2 linked regions of the Saccharomyces cerevisiae S288C genome follow. Changing the gene in region 1 together with any one later gene gives a genetic interaction. Each region holds a gene or a part of one and is shown on either strand. Other genes may lie near its edges.

Region 1 (10,884 bases):
TCGTTGAAGAAGATAATGATGATCACTCAATACCTGATGTTGGAACAGATTCTACCATTTCAGATTCTATTGATGAGACTGAATTATCAAAAGAAATTCGTAATAATTTGGCCCTTTGTCAACTACCAGATGAAGAAGTCTTAGATCATTCATTATCGAATATTAGGCAGTTGACAAATGATATTGAAATTATAAATAAAGATGAAGCAGACAACATGGAACAGCTATTTTTTGACCTGGAAATTCCTGAAAAGGATGAGTTTCAGAGAAAACAACCATTTAATGAACATGCAGATATTGATGAAGACATCGTTCTACCATATGTGAACAACTCAAATTACACACATACAGATAGGTCACATCATAGAGGTGATAATGTTTTGGGTGATGCCTCTTTAGGCGATTCGTTTAATTCAATGCCAGATTTTACTCCAAGAAATTTCTTGATACCTACATTAAAAAAATCACGGGAAAAGTTCGAGCCTCATCTATCCAATTCAAACCAACATTTTGGAAATGTAACCTTCTAATAATTTGTCATTTGACTGACGAATCGTTAGGCACAGTTATATAGTTATATACACATAGACATACATATGTTCGCATATATATTATATTACTATGCATTCACCTAAATAGCTACTGCTCTATTAATACAGTGCTTTTTCGATGGCTTTAATTTAACTTATTAGACATTACTTTGCGTTTATTCCCCTCCAATATATTTTTATGTTTGTTTTTCTTGAACATTTTATGATTTCTTGCTCTTGGCGGCTACTGATTTTGTTAAGCAACTCATCAAGAGGTCAAAAAAAGTAGAACGAGATCTTTGTGTTCGGTTACCCGGCTCAGATCCTAACTTGGTATGTTTATTCGTATAAGTTACTGTTGTCCACAGGCAATACTCTGCAGAAAATTAAAACGGCATTAATGCTAGGACAACCAGAACTGTTACTACTGTATGTGCGATAGTTGATAACTGCAACATTATGCCCGGTATATTCTCAAAAAACCCTATTACTGCATACGAAGAAATCGCAAGAGAAATCTTTCGGTTTGGAAAAGCTCACTGTGAGGTTCCTTGGAGCCAATAGTAATACAGCACAATCCAAGGAAAAATCTGGCCTATATGCAAGGAAGGAGAGATAGTCAAAAGCATTCTTTCCCCTAGAAGTTGGTGCATATATGGCATCGTTAAAACATATTACCCCCAAAATTTCTTCTCTAAACGATGTGCTTGGCCTTTGTTTTGGTTTTTGATGTCGGTCGTTTGAGGCCCCTTGCGGAAAATCGAGATCGCCGAATGGCACGCGAGGGAAGGGAAATAAGGTTTAAAGGCACTGAAACAATAGGCAAGAAGTAGGCGAGAGCCGACATACGAGACTAATGTGTCCGCGTTTCTAAGGCCACTTTTCAATGAAACGGATATTGATATGCTAGTAAAAGGACGAGCTCAAGAGCGAAAATATAAGTAAAGAATTCGAGTGCACTTGTCTCCATGCAGCAAGATTTCATATGAGTCTTTTTTATCTTTTTACTTTTTACATTACACGATATGCACTTTATGAAAATTTAACGAGGTTGGAAGCCGGATAATCAACCAAAATCAGGCACGAAGGCACACTCGTATATGCATGTTGTTGAAACTCTGTTACGCTGAACTAACAATCACACATGTAGAGGTCACCGGGAAAAGTTGCGACCCCATGGAAGGTCGATCTCTTCGTTTGGCTTTGCTTGGCTGGCGGCATTGCGCTTCTTCGCTTATACCCGTCTCTTGACGCTCGAGCTCGTTCATTGAGATACCTTTATTCTTGCACATTTTCTGGCTTTTTTCGCTACTCGGGTACATGTAATCATGCACACAGAAGGTGCTGTAGGGTGAAAGTTCCTTTGTGCTGTCGTTTGTTTTTAATGCCAAACTTTCTGGTGATCAATAACCACCTCTTTTTCCTTCAGGAAACCTTATTATTGTTCTTGGATAGTACTAGGAAGTATATAAGGAACCTCGATTTTGGTATTGCACGGCTATACACATCTAAGAAACTTTGTATAAAAGGTGGCTACCCTATTCATAGCTTGATATCAATAGGCCATCTCATCACTTTTTATTGAAAAGGAAAGGAGGGAAATATATCTGATTCAAATTACTTGTTTGCTTCTCTTTAAGACAAAAGCATAGATAATTTCAGCGTGGAACGCCGGAATAAGATTGGTACCCTCGTCAGAAAGTTACAAATACCGCTTCATCTTCAAAATGACTTCACCGGAATCACTATCTTCTCGTCATATCAGGCAAGGAAGGACATACACAACCACAGACAAGGTCATATCGCGGTCGTCGTCGTACTCATCTAATAGTTCAATGTCTAAAGATTACGGCGATCACACACCCTTGTCCGTCAGCAGTGCAGCTTCAGAGACATTACCCTCACCTCAGTATATGCCGATAAGGACATTCAATACAATGCCTACAGCTGGCCCAACGCCTTTACATTTATTTCAAAATGACAGGGGCATTTTCAACCATCATTCTTCATCAGGCTCATCAAAAACGGCATCAACAAATAAAAGAGGAATAGCAGCAGCAGTAGCATTGGCAACTGCTGCCACCATACCATTTCCACTGAAAAAACAGAATCAAGATGATAATTCCAAGGTCTCGGTAACACACAATGAATCATCGAAAGAAAATAAAATTACACCCTCCATGAGAGCAGAAGATAACAAACCTAAAAATGGTTGCATCTGCGGTTCAAGTGACTCCAAGGATGAGTTGTTTATACAGTGTAACAAATGTAAAACGTGGCAGCACAAGTTATGTTATGCTTTCAAAAAATCAGATCCAATAAAAAGAGATTTTGTTTGCAAAAGATGTGACAGTGATACGAAAGTGCAGGTTAATCAAGTAAAACCAATGATATTCCCTAGAAAAATGGGAGATGAGCGATTATTTCAATTTTCATCCATAGTGACAACTTCAGCATCGAACACAAATCAGCATCAACAGTCTGTGAATAACATAGAGGAACAGCCCAAGAAACGTCAACTTCATTATACCGCCCCAACAACTGAAAATAGCAATAGTATACGGAAAAAATTGAGGCAAGAAAAACTGGTAGTATCAAGCCACTTTCTGAAGCCACTACTGAATGAGGTAAGTTCTTCCAATGACACGGAATTCAAAGCAATAACAATATCAGAGTATAAGGACAAATATGTTAAGATGTTTATTGATAACCATTATGATGACGATTGGGTTGTTTGTTCTAACTGGGAAAGCTCAAGGTCAGCTGACATCGAGGTAAGAAAATCATCAAATGAAAGAGATTTTGGAGTCTTCGCTGCAGATTCTTGTGTTAAAGGTGAGCTAATTCAAGAATATTTGGGCAAAATTGATTTTCAAAAAAATTATCAGACAGATCCAAATAATGACTATCGTTTGATGGGAACGACAAAACCTAAAGTACTTTTTCATCCACATTGGCCTTTATATATAGACTCTCGAGAAACAGGCGGATTAACAAGATACATAAGACGGAGTTGTGAGCCCAATGTGGAACTAGTAACGGTAAGACCGCTTGACGAAAAACCAAGAGGAGATAATGATTGTAGAGTTAAATTTGTTTTAAGGGCTATAAGAGATATTCGTAAGGGAGAAGAGATAAGCGTAGAATGGCAATGGGATTTGAGAAATCCTATTTGGGAGATAATAAATGCATCTAAAGATTTGGATTCCCTACCGGATCCCGACAAGTTCTGGTTGATGGGGTCAATAAAGACTATTTTAACAAATTGTGATTGTGCATGTGGGTACTTGGGCCATAATTGTCCAATAACTAAAATCAAAAACTTTTCTGAAGAATTCATGAGGAATACGAAGGAATCCCTATCTAATAAATCTTACTTTAATACAATAATGCACAACTGTAAGCCATAAACGAAATTTTAAAATTAATAGTATTCATTTTAATCTTTTTTGAAAGCTTAATTTTATCATCATAATTTTTCTTCCAAAACTTCAATCTTGGTATTTTTTTTCGCATTGGTCTTCATTTTTTTTCTTTTGTTTTTAGCTTTAATGTTGAAAGCGTGAATATCAAAACACTTTTATAATAAATCACCACTTTGTAACTATAGAGAACAATTCATGCTTTATTTATAGATGCCACGATTAAGCATCAATCATTAGTTGAGAGGATCCTTAACGTTAAAATCCACCGCACTTTTCCTTTCAAAAAGCTGCATTGTTTCCATAATTCATTTCATGGCAGGTTAATGACTTATTTGATATGAAGAGTGAGGTTCTTATCAAATGAAATTCCTACATATGAATTTTTTAAAAGAGAGTTTTTCGTTTTACGATATTTATTTACTTCATCATCGTTTATCATTTTTCACGTAGCAAATTTTGAAGCTTCAACTTATAACTCATTTGCATCCGATTCACATATTTCAGCTGACTATAAATTTGGCAACAGCTTCGTGACTTGAGCATAAGAAAAACATAGACTTGTTGGATATAAAATATGGCTCACAGGGCTTTCATACAGGTTATAATCACAGGAACTCAAGTTTTTGGAAAAGCATTCGCCGAGGCGTATAGACAAGCGGCTTCACAATCAGTGAAACAAGGTGCTACAAATGCATCTAGAAGGGGAACAGGAAAAGGCGAATATGGTGGTATTACGTTGGATGAGAGTTGTAAAATTTTAAATATTGAAGAATCCAAGGGCGATTTAAACATGGACAAGATTAATAACAGGTTTAACTATCTATTTGAGGTTAACGATAAAGAAAAAGGTGGAAGCTTCTACTTACAGAGCAAAGTTTATCGAGCAGCAGAAAGGTTAAAATGGGAACTGGCTCAGAGAGAAAAAAATGCGAAGGCGAAAGCAGGGGACGCTTCAACAGCGAAACCTCCTCCGAATTCAACAAATTCATCTGGTGCAGATAATAGTGCAAGCAGCAATCAGTAGTCAAGGAAGCCTCCATCATTACGTCACAAGTGTTATCGAAAGCATGCAGCAGTGCATATATTTTCCTAGTTGGTTGCTTCCTGTACGTTAGGAATCTTCAACCACCATCCTTGTATTTAGTTAATATTAGTATATGTACCAAAGTAAATATACTCAGATGCCATCTCGATATACGCACCGTACACGAAAATGAAATTAAAAAAAAAATGTTGGAGCACAAGCAAGGCAGCATCAGAACGTACCGTCAGTTGGTACCAAGACAAGTCCATCCCCGTAGGCACTACAAATTATGGGAATGAGAAAGTATACAAAATATAAACTGTCTTATCATGAAGAAGAGTCGCTTAGGAATTTAAACTTTCAAATCGCATTACGCAATTCTCTAAAAACGCGAACCTTTCCCTGATATGTAATCAGGGAATTTCCTCAGAATAATATTCGATCTAAGAAACCGGAAACGAAATGAAAATTGTTACTACTTTGTTTAGGAGTAGTCAAAGTTCATTCAGCTATGGGTTATGATGAAATGATTTAAATTATTCTCGCTCCAGTATTAACTTATTACGTAATATGAGCTTAAAAGAGCAAGCTCCTCATCACTCACACTCCATAACATGAAGAACGAAAATAACCTAATCTTTAGGTTTCTATGGTATAATGAAATTAATATTATCTAAAGATAGTATTAACCACTACTGATGTTAGCCTTTTGAAAAAAAATCAAAAGAAAAATTTGAATTTTAAAGAAGAAGTAACAAAGGGAAGAAGTTTTTGCCAATCGGACAACACTAGCTCTATTTATACTTTTCTGTTGCTCCAAAAACAGGAAAGAACAAATTTTTCAATTTAGTGTGACCCGGCTAATAATAAAGAGGGAAGTAATAGGTAGGGTTTTACTGGCAAGAAATCCATATTGTTGCTCCCGAATAATATTATAAATTCTTGTAATTAATACAAAGTTTCTAGATCCACCTTGTTTAAAAATATAAAGTTATGCTTAAAATTCTTCAGGGAAGAAGGTTTTCAATGGATGATTTTACATTTTTGACGAATTCCTGAGAAACTAAATTACAATGTAAAACTGTACATAAATATAAATATTATTGTTGATACGGAAAGTAAAATAAAAAAAAGAAACGCTAAAGAATACTGAATTGCCAACCTAAGTAAAAAATAAGCGATAAAATCAAAGAAACGGACAGAATGCATATAAAAACTGTAATCAGTAATAAGCCCAAAAAATAGTGATCAGTCCATTTCAAAAATTGGTAAAAATTGTCCCATTACGAGAATTGGGATATTAAACGAGTCCCTTTTTACTGTCCAACAACAGGCACACTTCAAATAAAGACCGTTACTTAATAATAAATTGCACTTAGTAAAGATTGCTTTTCCATCCGTAGTAAAAGAAAACCCTTCTGTAATTTTTGACGAGGTAGAAGAACATGCGTTCAACATCAATAGTTTTTTCCTTTTATTGATATCATTGTAACCAAATGCCAGCAATTCGTTAAATATTTGAAAGTAATTCGAAACGCTTTTATGATCCAGATATTCAAAAATAAAGGAGGTGCGGTCTAATAGTAAATTTTTGTTAAAACCTGTTAAAGAATAGAATTCGTTACTGACAAAACAAATCTCGCCTGATCTTCTCCAGATGCACATCGGTGTGCAGCTTACTAATTTTGCCATGTTCTCCAAATCTAATAAAGCCCTTTGCAAGGTAACTTCCTGTAATAGCAAATCCTCTTCAATCATATTGGATGTTAACGAAATGAAAATTGGAGCATATCTTTCTAGTATAGAGCGTATTATAACTTCTAAATCATATCTCAAATTATGCTTTTGGGTACTGTGTTCGTCTTTTACTGAGGCAGATTTATCAATTTCAGCTCCTTCAAGAAATTTTTTTCTTAAAGTAGTTAGCAGTTTGGTGTATGCGAGCTTGTAATTATGCGGTTTTATTAAACATTTATTGTCATATAGGTCTTGAGGAGTCTTTACTAATTCACGAAACTTTGAAGGTGATATGAAATCGGTATCATGTTTCTCCAGATCTGCATCGGAGTGACTAGAACTGTCACATTCGCTTTCCAGTTTGGCGTTATGTGATGGGTGTGTATTAGCGTTTGCTCCACGATTCAAATGCAGCATGTCTAAAGATATAAAGGGCCTAGACACTACTTCATCATATGTATTGAAAGTAGAAGTGGAATGGCCGATCGAGGAGTCCTTTTGGTCATTCACGCTTTTTGTCGAGTTTAAAAGGTTCGTTAAATGCAATGACGAATTTCCCCGTGTAGATGCGCTAGGATTGGGATATTCTGATTCTTGGAGGGAAAATATCTGGGAGTTATTCGGTAAAAACGGCGTTGAAATATCTACTATATCCTTTAATTTCATGTATTCGTCATTGCACCACATACTATCAAAGTGAATATTAGTTTCGTCATCGACATCATCGTCACTCTTATTACTATCGTCCATTCCAGAGTGCACAGGAACGTTTGAAGTAGCAACCAAACAATTGGTAGCCAGCGGCTGCTGCATTGCTTTATGTTGCTCTAGGAAATGCGACTTTAAATTGAGAGTACTCTTCCGTACGGTGGGTATGATGGGGTCATTCATTAAATGTACTGCTTGTGAAGCTGATATATTATTAGAAGTATTTTCTAAGACGGTCTGGCGGTTATTCGTATTGAAGTTCGTAATACGTGGAATAGATCCAGCGCTTTGAAAGTTATCATTTATATTATACGTATATTGGATATTCGTATTGTGGGCAGGTGTTTTGCCTGGTTTTTCCTGATCTGAAGATAGAAAATCTCGCTGCAGATGTACGCTTGAGGGGGATACCGTCTTCGACGGCACATCATGTATTACCAGCCTCTTCCCCAAATTCAAGTATGGTTGTGTTCCATGCTTCTCAATTCGTTTTCTTGATTTCCTTTTCTTATCTCTGCAAAACTTCCCAATATTTCTTTTTAAACAGTTTTGACATGGCCTCCCTACGTCACACTGTATATGTTTGGTATGACAGAATTCACAAGCTGTCTGGATAGACTTTCTCGTCTGTTTCAACTCTGAAGGTAGTTTTTTGGTCATATGTATATATATTCTTGTATGCTGTATCCAAATATATTATTTCTTTACTCCCTTTATTGCTAAGCTGTAATACGTTAAATCATTCGAAATATGATCTATTCATGCAAAAACTTGATGTGTGTAACAAAGAAAATATCCGGTTCAGAGATCCGAACAAATGATAGTCGTACCCTTCCCCTTAGTGTTAACTCGTTTAAGCAGGCTATGATGATTAGTAAATCGTTTCAGCCTCTTCTCATTTCGACAATTTTTGAGGCCTTCCCTTAGTGAGAGGGGAGATAACCAATCAGCACAGAGAACGACGACGGCGCGGAGGCTGGGCGGTTAAAAGAAGATAATGTGAAATAGATCAACAAGCTTTCTGGTGGCAAAACGGCAGTCAGAGATATACAAAAGGGGCAAGATAAGTGAGGGAGGCTATGTGGAAATGGAATGTGCGCAGATGGGCGGGCGCAAGAGTAAACATTAGCAAGAACCGATTAAGTGTAATTAACGTTGGAAGTAGATACTTATCGACCGCAAGAAGTCCACTGTCTAAGGTTAGAAATATAGGAATTATAGCCCATATCGATGCAGGTAAAACTACCACAACAGAGAGGATGCTTTATTATGCAGGAATCTCAAAGCATATTGGAGACGTCGACACTGGCGATACGATAACTGATTTTTTAGAGCAGGAGAGATCCCGAGGTATCACAATTCAAAGCGCTGCGATTTCATTCCCATGGCGAAATACTTTTGCAATAAATCTTATTGATACGCCGGGACATATAGATTTTACTTTTGAAGTGATTAGGGCTTTGAAAGTTATTGATTCATGCGTGGTCATTTTGGACGCTGTTGCCGGCGTAGAGGCACAGACAGAGAAGGTTTGGAAGCAAAGTAAATCGAAGCCCAAAATCTGCTTTATCAACAAAATGGATCGTATGGGGGCGAGTTTCAACCATACAGTCAATGACTTGATAAATAAATTTATGAGAGGAACAACTACCAAACCGGTGTTGGTAAACATTCCTTACTATCGAAAACAACCGACTAGCAATGATTATGTTTTCCAAGGTGTTATTGACGTCGTAAATGGGAAGCGATTAACCTGGAATCCAGAAAATCCTGATGAAATTATCGTGGATGAGTTGGATGGTACTTCTCTTGAGCAGTGTAATCGTTGTAGGGAATCGATGATAGAGACTTTGACTGAATACGACGAAGATTTAGTCCAGCACTTCTTAGAGGAGGCAGAAGGCGATTACTCCAAGGTTTCCGCACAGTTTTTGAACGCTTCAATAAGAAAACTGACTATGAAGAATATGATTGTACCTGTCTTATGCGGTGCGTCTTTTAAAAATATTGGCGTGCAGCCTCTATTAGATGCTATAGTTAATTATCTCCCTTCGCCCATTGAAGCCGAACTACCAGAACTAAATGATAAAACCGTTCCAATGAAATATGACCCCAAAGTTGGATGTTTAGTAAACAACAACAAAAATCTTTGCATTGCTCTTGCATTCAAAGTGATTACGGATCCAATCAGGGGTAAACAAATATTCATTAGAATTTATTCAGGTACACTAAACAGTGGCAATACCGTTTATAATTCTACTACTGGGGAAAAATTTAAATTGGGTAAATTACTGATACCCCATGCGGGAACATCACAACCTGTAAATATTTTAACTGCGGGCCAAATCGGATTGCTTACTGGCTCTACAGTCGAAAACAACATATCTACTGGAGATACACTAATAACGCATTCGTCGAAGAAGGATGGGTTGAAATCACTTGATAAAAAAAAGGAGTTGACGTTAAAAATCAATTCTATCTTCATTCCCCCACCAGTTTTTGGTGTTTCCATCGAACCAAGGACTTTAAGTAATAAAAAATCGATGGAAGAAGCTTTAAACACTTTAATTACTGAAGATCCCAGTCTTTCAATTTCTCAAAATGATGAGACTGGCCAAACGGTTTTAAACGGTATGGGTGAATTACACCTTGAAATTGCCAAGGATCGATTGGTTAATGACCTAAAAGCAGATGTTGAATTTGGTCAGTTGATGGTGTCCTACAAAGAAACAATTAATTCAGAAACAAATATAGAAACGTATGAGAGTGATGATGGATATAGATTCTCCTTATCTCTGCTACCAAATTCCGATGCCCTTCCTAACTGCCTTGCATATCCATTAGGAGTCAACGAGAATTTTCTGATAATGGAAAAAAATGGTAATTGGGATAAAGAATGGAAATACCAAGTTTCTTTCGAATCAATTCTAAATTCTATTATTGCAAGTTGCATTGTGGGACTTCAAAGAGGCGGAAAAATAGCTAACTTTCCCTTATATGCATGCTCCATCAAAATCAATAGCGATTGGTCAGTCCCACCTGATATTGAAACTCCACAAGAAATCTTAAAAATTACTAGAAACTTAATTTTTAAAGCTCTCAATGACTTAAAACCTGAAAAATACAACCTTCTGGAACCCATCATGAATCTTGATCTAACAATCCCTCAATCTGATGTTGGTACGGTGTTACAAGATCTAACAGGAGCAAGAAAGGCTCAAATTCTGTCTATTGAAGACGAATCAAGCGTGTCAAATTCTGGCGCATCCACTTGTAATTCTCCAGAGAACAGCAATAGGATATATATTCCCTCTGATGCTGTTACAACCCTACACGCAACCAAAGATAAAAAAAACACTCAAGAGACCAGTTCTAATGTAAAAAAAATTATAAAAGCGAAAGTGCCACTAAGGGAAATTACCACCTACACCAATAAGCTAAGGAGCTTATCGCAAGGGAG
Region 2 (6,548 bases), on another chromosome or scaffold:
TCGCATATTTTGGAAATTCAAACAATGATTAACAACCGATGTGTGAATTAATCTGCGAGTCAGTTAGAATAAAAGATCATTAGGGCCGATAATAGCTACGTGGTGGGAAGGCTGGAATAATGGTTAAAGTAAAGTCGAAAAAGAACTCATTAACAAGTTCTCTAGATAACAAGATCGTCGATCTTATCTATCGTCTCTTGGAAGAAAAAACTTTGGACAGAAAAAGGTCTCTGAGACAAGAATCCCAAGGAGAAGAGGGCGAGAACAACGAGGGTGAAGAAGATGAGGATATATTTGAATCCATGTTTTTCGCTAAAGATTTAACAGCAGGTGAGATTTTTACCTTTTGTTTGACTAAAGATTTATCACTTCAAAGAGTTAAGAAAGTTGTCTTACAAAAGACAATTGACCGCATGCTAAAAGACGTGATTGAATCAGAATTGGAAGAATTTGGTTCTTACCCAGGTTACAACAACGAAGAGGAAGAGAAACCAAGCTTGGAAGAAGAACTAGCTAAGAAAAATATGATGATTGAGCGAGACACAAATGAGATGAACAAACGCATAACTAGCACGTGGTCCAAATCTGGATCTGTTTCCGAGTCTATAACAGAAACTGATGATCCTAAGACAGAAGAGGTTAAAAAATCTAAAAAAAGATCCAAAGAAGGTACATGTAAGGTAAAACGTCAAAAAATCAAGGAAGATAGATCTCCACCTAATTCGTCTCTGAAATCCTTAGGTGGTATGGATGATGTCGTTGCACAACTTATGGAACTAATAGGTCTACCCATTCTTCATCCAGAGATATTTTTATCCACGGGTGTCGAACCACCTAGAGGTGTTCTGTTGCATGGCCCACCGGGTTGCGGTAAGACGTCGATTGCTAATGCGTTAGCTGGAGAATTACAAGTCCCATTTATATCTATTTCTGCACCTTCAGTCGTAAGTGGTATGTCTGGGGAAAGCGAGAAAAAGATTAGGGATTTGTTTGATGAAGCGAGAAGCTTGGCACCATGTCTTGTTTTCTTTGATGAAATAGATGCCATTACACCAAAACGTGATGGAGGAGCCCAAAGAGAAATGGAGAGAAGAATAGTTGCCCAATTATTGACCTCAATGGATGAATTAACGATGGAAAAGACAAATGGAAAACCTGTTATTATCATAGGTGCCACGAATAGACCTGACTCTTTGGATGCAGCATTGAGAAGAGCAGGTAGATTCGATAGAGAAATATGCCTGAATGTCCCGAATGAAGTCTCAAGGTTACATATTTTAAAGAAAATGTCTGATAACCTAAAAATTGATGGTGCTATCGATTTTGCCAAATTGGCAAAATTAACCCCAGGCTTTGTTGGCGCTGATTTAAAGGCTTTAGTTACTGCTGCCGGTACATGCGCTATTAAAAGAATTTTCCAAACCTATGCTAATATAAAATCCACACCAACTACGGCAACGGACAGTTCAGAAGATAACATGGAAATTGATGAAACAGCAAACGGAGATGAATCTAGCCTGAAGAACACTGCGAATATGATCGATCCGTTGCCTTTATCCGTAGTCCAACAATTTATTCGTAATTATCCTGAGCCTTTATCAGGAGAGCAGTTATCATTATTATCGATTAAGTACGAAGATTTTTTGAAAGCGTTGCCAACAATTCAACCAACAGCAAAGAGAGAAGGGTTCGCTACGGTACCTGATGTTACTTGGGCTAATGTAGGCGCATTGCAAAGAGTTAGACTTGAATTAAATATGGCTATTGTGCAACCCATCAAGAGACCAGAGCTTTATGAAAAAGTGGGAATTAGCGCCCCTGGTGGTGTTTTATTGTGGGGACCACCAGGTTGTGGTAAAACGTTACTAGCAAAAGCTGTTGCCAATGAATCTCGTGCAAATTTCATATCAATCAAAGGTCCTGAATTATTAAATAAATACGTTGGTGAATCAGAAAGGTCCATCAGACAAGTTTTTACTAGAGCAAGGGCGTCTGTACCGTGTGTTATATTTTTTGATGAACTGGACGCTTTGGTGCCAAGAAGAGATACTTCTTTGTCCGAATCCTCCTCAAGAGTCGTCAACACTTTGTTAACGGAATTAGATGGGCTGAACGATAGAAGGGGAATTTTTGTGATTGGCGCCACTAATAGACCTGATATGATTGATCCTGCTATGTTAAGACCGGGCAGATTGGATAAGAGTTTGTTTATTGAGTTACCTAATACTGAGGAAAAACTAGATATTATCAAAACTTTGACCAAATCACACGGAACACCTCTGAGTAGCGATGTTGATTTTGAAGAAATTATCAGAAATGAGAAGTGCAACAATTTTTCAGGCGCTGACTTGGCTGCTTTAGTCAGGGAGAGTTCAGTCTTGGCTCTAAAAAGGAAGTTTTTTCAGAGCGAAGAAATACAATCTGTTCTTGATAATGACTTAGACAAGGAATTTGAGGATCTATCGGTTGGCGTATCTGGCGAAGAAATTATTGTGACCATGTCTGACTTCCGAAGTGCATTAAGAAAGATTAAACCCTCTGTGAGCGATAAAGATAGACTGAAATATGATAGATTAAATAAGAAAATGGGTTTAACGGAGGAGATGAAGGATGCGGAAGAAATGAAACAATAAATTTATAAATAATATTTTGGTAAAGTCCCTAGAAGTTAGTATGACTTAGATATTGAAGGAATATGAGTATACATAACAAATATATAAAACTTTGCATGATTTTTGTGTATCCTCTATCTTTCACTATTAAAAAATGTACGATTACCTTTTCTTTCTATCTTTTCATGAATTGGCCACGTCTCATGACGTTCTTACGAACTTTCCACACATGTTCCAATTTTTTCCTTCTTTCAAAAGTTGCGAACGGTATTTGTATATTATCATCCCATGTAATTGTGCGGGGGGATGGAAGAAAGTCACAAAAAGGAGTTTCCGTCTTATTTCTTACTATTATCCATTGAGCATCCTCAGGTTGTTTATCTAAAATCTGGGTATGGCAAGGTGGCACGTAAATGTTCATTATTTGCTGGGAGGTGTCAATAGAGTGTATCAGCCCCAGAGTTATGAAATTTTTAGAAGAAGAAGTACACGATTGTAGGATGGGAAAGGTATTCAAGGATTTCACCTCTAGTGAGTCTTCTCCAGAATATGTATATATCCCAATGACAGTACCTTCCAATGCGGACTTGATATCTTGAGGATTCAGATCCTGGAATTCCATAGGAAATTGAATGCCTTTAATACCGCTTTTACCTTTGCCATATGAAATTTGCAAAGGTGCAGATTTTAAAAGAGGCGCAAAATCATAATCAAATTGAGTTATTTTATGAAACAGTGCCAGTATTTTGAATGTTCTCAGTTGTGATGCATGGAACCTAGAAGATAAGGTGTGGTTCAGACTATGGGCTGGAACGCGAACAACTTCAGGTGCATATGCATCTCGTAGTGATGTGGAAAAACTCTGTGGAATTGTTAGTTCATCCAGGTGTCTTTTCGAATTAGCTGTTTCCAAAAACAATAAGTGAGTGGGCTTATATTTCCTTATTATATGATTTAAAATCTGCATCCCGAATCCTTTTATCCACCCAGGTAGATTAAGCAATGACGTTCCGAAGAAGGCTTGCTCTTCCAAATGGTCTATAAGTTTATCAGCGCAGTTCAGGTATGATGTGGGCTCGTCCTGCGGGGAAGAGGAGCCAGCGTAGAACTGTAACAAAGTTTGGAAATTTGAACCTTGGCAGAGATGTTGTCCGAGAGAAATAGGGCTGGAAAGAATCTTATTCAGGGATATTGAATCAGGTAGTGAGTATTCAGGTTGACCAGGATCTAAATCCAGGTATACCAATTCTTCCTGGCTCGTAGTAGAATCTCGTATATCTTGCGTAAATTTTTCCAATAAAAGCCTCAAGAATGTAGACTTCCCAGAGTTTTTACCACCAATCACCATGATTCTTGTATCATACGCAGCGTTCTTGTGACTCAAATATAACTTCTCTAACGGAGTTGACCAATATCCCGGCACGGATAAAGATTGAATTCGGTCTGACTCATGTAATAAATGATACGTTGTTCTCTCGTTTAATGGAAAGTAAGGTTCTTTAGGTTTCCATAGATAATTAACATCCCGATATAAATGACCTGCTTCTAACAAGCCCGTATGATTAGAATTAAAAACGCGAAGAACACATGGAAATGATTTGAATTCTTCATCTCTAATTTTAAACCTGTTGTTTCTCGGCATAAAAAAAGTGTCTTGCCAGCCTGCAAAGTGCGAAAAATCTATAGTAGGTATGGACTGTGATAACGGGTGCCAGAAGGTTAAAATTTCTCTCGAAGCGTTATAGTGTACATTGTTGTAGACAATACCTCCTTTCACCACTTGCAGCCGGAAAACACCAGATAAATGTAACTTCTGTTTTTCTTTCAACCCCACAAACATAGTTTCATCTTCATCTCCTTCATACGTTATATTATCGATCAATTCAGCATCCAGCCCGTTCAAGTCATCACCTTCGTCGTCCTCATACTCTTCACTATTGAGAACTACGGTTGCACTTTTTGAAGATGGAATTGACGGAGATTCCACAATGAAATTATTACTTGAGTCTGAGTCCGATTCTGAACCTGAATCTTTGGTATATTGAGGTAGATCCTGTTTGGAATCTATCACCATAGCGGTAGAATATAATAGAAATGATTATCTTCTTCTCTCTGCCAAACTAAACTGCAGTCTTTCCTTATTTCAGAAGGGAAAGATCAGGAGTGGGGAACCTATACTACCTGCACTATAAGCGTGAATTAAGACAACTTAAATGCAACCTAAGCCTTAGGCGCAGAGCACTCGATGACTTGGCAGGAATAAATTTCATGTTGATAAATTTCGTACTTTTTCGGGTAGCAGCGGTGAAAAATTCGTAAGGGCAATTTTAGAAAGATGCAAACTTTCCAAGAAATATTAAAGACCAAAACATAGCCAAGAAAGCCAACTAGGGAACAATGCTTTGTGCTATTAGTGGGAAAGTTCCTAGAAGGCCAGTTCTATCACCTAAATCCAGGACTATTTTTGAAAAGTCGCTCCTTGAACAGTATGTTAAAGATACGGGGAATGATCCGATAACAAATGAGCCCTTAAGCATCGAAGAAATAGTGGAAATCGTACCTAGTGCGCAACAAGCCTCACTAACAGAGTCTACAAACTCTGCTACGTTAAAAGCGAATTATTCGATTCCGAATCTGTTGACAAGTTTACAGAATGAATGGGATGCTATAATGCTCGAAAACTTTAAGTTACGATCAACTCTAGATAGTTTAACGAAAAAACTGTCGACTGTAATGTACGAAAGAGATGCTGCAAAGTTGGTCGCTGCGCAACTATTGATGGAAAAAAACGAAGATTCGAAGGATTTACCCAAATCCTCACAGCAAGCGGTAGCTATTACGAGAGAAGAATTTTTACAAGGGCTGTTACAATCTTCTAGAGACTTTGTAGCGAGGGGCAAGCTCAAAGCACCCAAATGGCCGATTTTAAAAAATTTGGAGCTATTACAGGCACAAAATTACTCCCGTAACATCAAAACATTCCCATATAAAGAGCTTAACAAATCTATGTACTATGATAAATGGGTGTGCATGTGTCGCTGTGAGGATGGTGCTTTACATTTTACCCAATTAAAAGATTCGAAAACGATTACCACAATAACTACACCAAATCCCCGTACCGGGGGAGAGCATCCAGCTATTATTTCCAGAGGGCCTTGTAATCGTTTGCTACTACTATATCCAGGTAACCAAATAACTATATTGGACTCAAAAACAAACAAAGTCCTCAGAGAAATAGAGGTAGATTCCGCCAATGAGATTATATATATGTATGGTCACAACGAGGTCAACACAGAGTACTTCATCTGGGCGGATAATAGAGGAACCATAGGATTTCAATCCTACGAGGATGATTCCCAGTATATTGTTCATTCTGCTAAATCAGATGTTGAGTACAGCAGCGGTGTCCTACATAAGGATTCATTATTATTAGCCCTTTACTCTCCGGACGGTATATTAGACGTTTACAACTTGTCATCACCTGACCAGGCAAGCTCTAGATTCCCCGTAGATGAAGAAGCCAAGATAAAAGAGGTTAAATTTGCAGACAATGGGTACTGGATGGTAGTAGAGTGTGACCAAACTGTGGTTTGCTTTGACCTAAGAAAGGATGTCGGCACGCTAGCGTATCCAACTTACACAATCCCAGAATTCAAGACGGGCACCGTTACCTATGACATTGACGACTCTGGAAAGAATATGATTGCATACTCAAACGAGAGCAATTCGCTGACGATATACAAATTTGACAAGAAAACAAAAAATTGGACTAAAGACGAGGAGAGCGCCCTCTGTTTGCAAAGCGACACTGCCGATTTCACTGATATGGACGTGGTATGCGGAGATGGTGGTATTGCCGCTATTCTGAAGACAAATGATAGTTTCAATATTGTTGCATTGACACCCTAAATACGCTGACACGTTTGTACTTTCTAA

Evidence for each region. A genetic interaction does not mean that the proteins touch.
Region 2: mutations in MEF2 (region 1) and GRC3 together harm fitness more than expected from each alone (negative genetic interaction), as found in Saccharomyces cerevisiae (one large-scale study listed by BioGRID).

What each region holds. Positions count from the first base shown.
Region 1 is NC_001142.9:222,798-233,681, forward strand, and holds the start of MEF2 (mitochondrial elongation factor MEF2), read left to right. Parts: upstream 1-8,503; coding exon 8,504-10,884. Other genes in the region: protein kinase IME2, read left to right, coding at 1-530; SET4 (Set4p), read left to right, coding at 2,258-3,940; import motor complex subunit PAM16, read left to right, coding at 4,530-4,979; GSM1 (Gsm1p), read right to left, coding at 6,228-8,084. UniProt on the Saccharomyces cerevisiae protein: Mitochondrial GTPase that mediates the disassembly of ribosomes from messenger RNA at the termination of mitochondrial protein biosynthesis. Not involved in the GTP-dependent ribosomal translocation step during translation elongation.
Region 2 is NC_001144.5:66,718-73,265, reverse strand, and holds GRC3 (polynucleotide 5'-hydroxyl-kinase), read right to left. Parts: upstream 4,687-6,548; coding exon 2,788-4,686; downstream 1-2,787. Other genes in the region: putative AAA family ATPase RIX7, read left to right, coding at 120-2,633; E3 ubiquitin-protein ligase PRP19, read left to right, coding at 5,010-6,521. UniProt on the Saccharomyces cerevisiae protein: Polynucleotide 5'-kinase involved in rRNA processing. Required for the efficient termination by RNA polymerase I and the processing of the IST2 pre-rRNA internal transcribed spacer localized between the 5.8S and 25S rRNAs.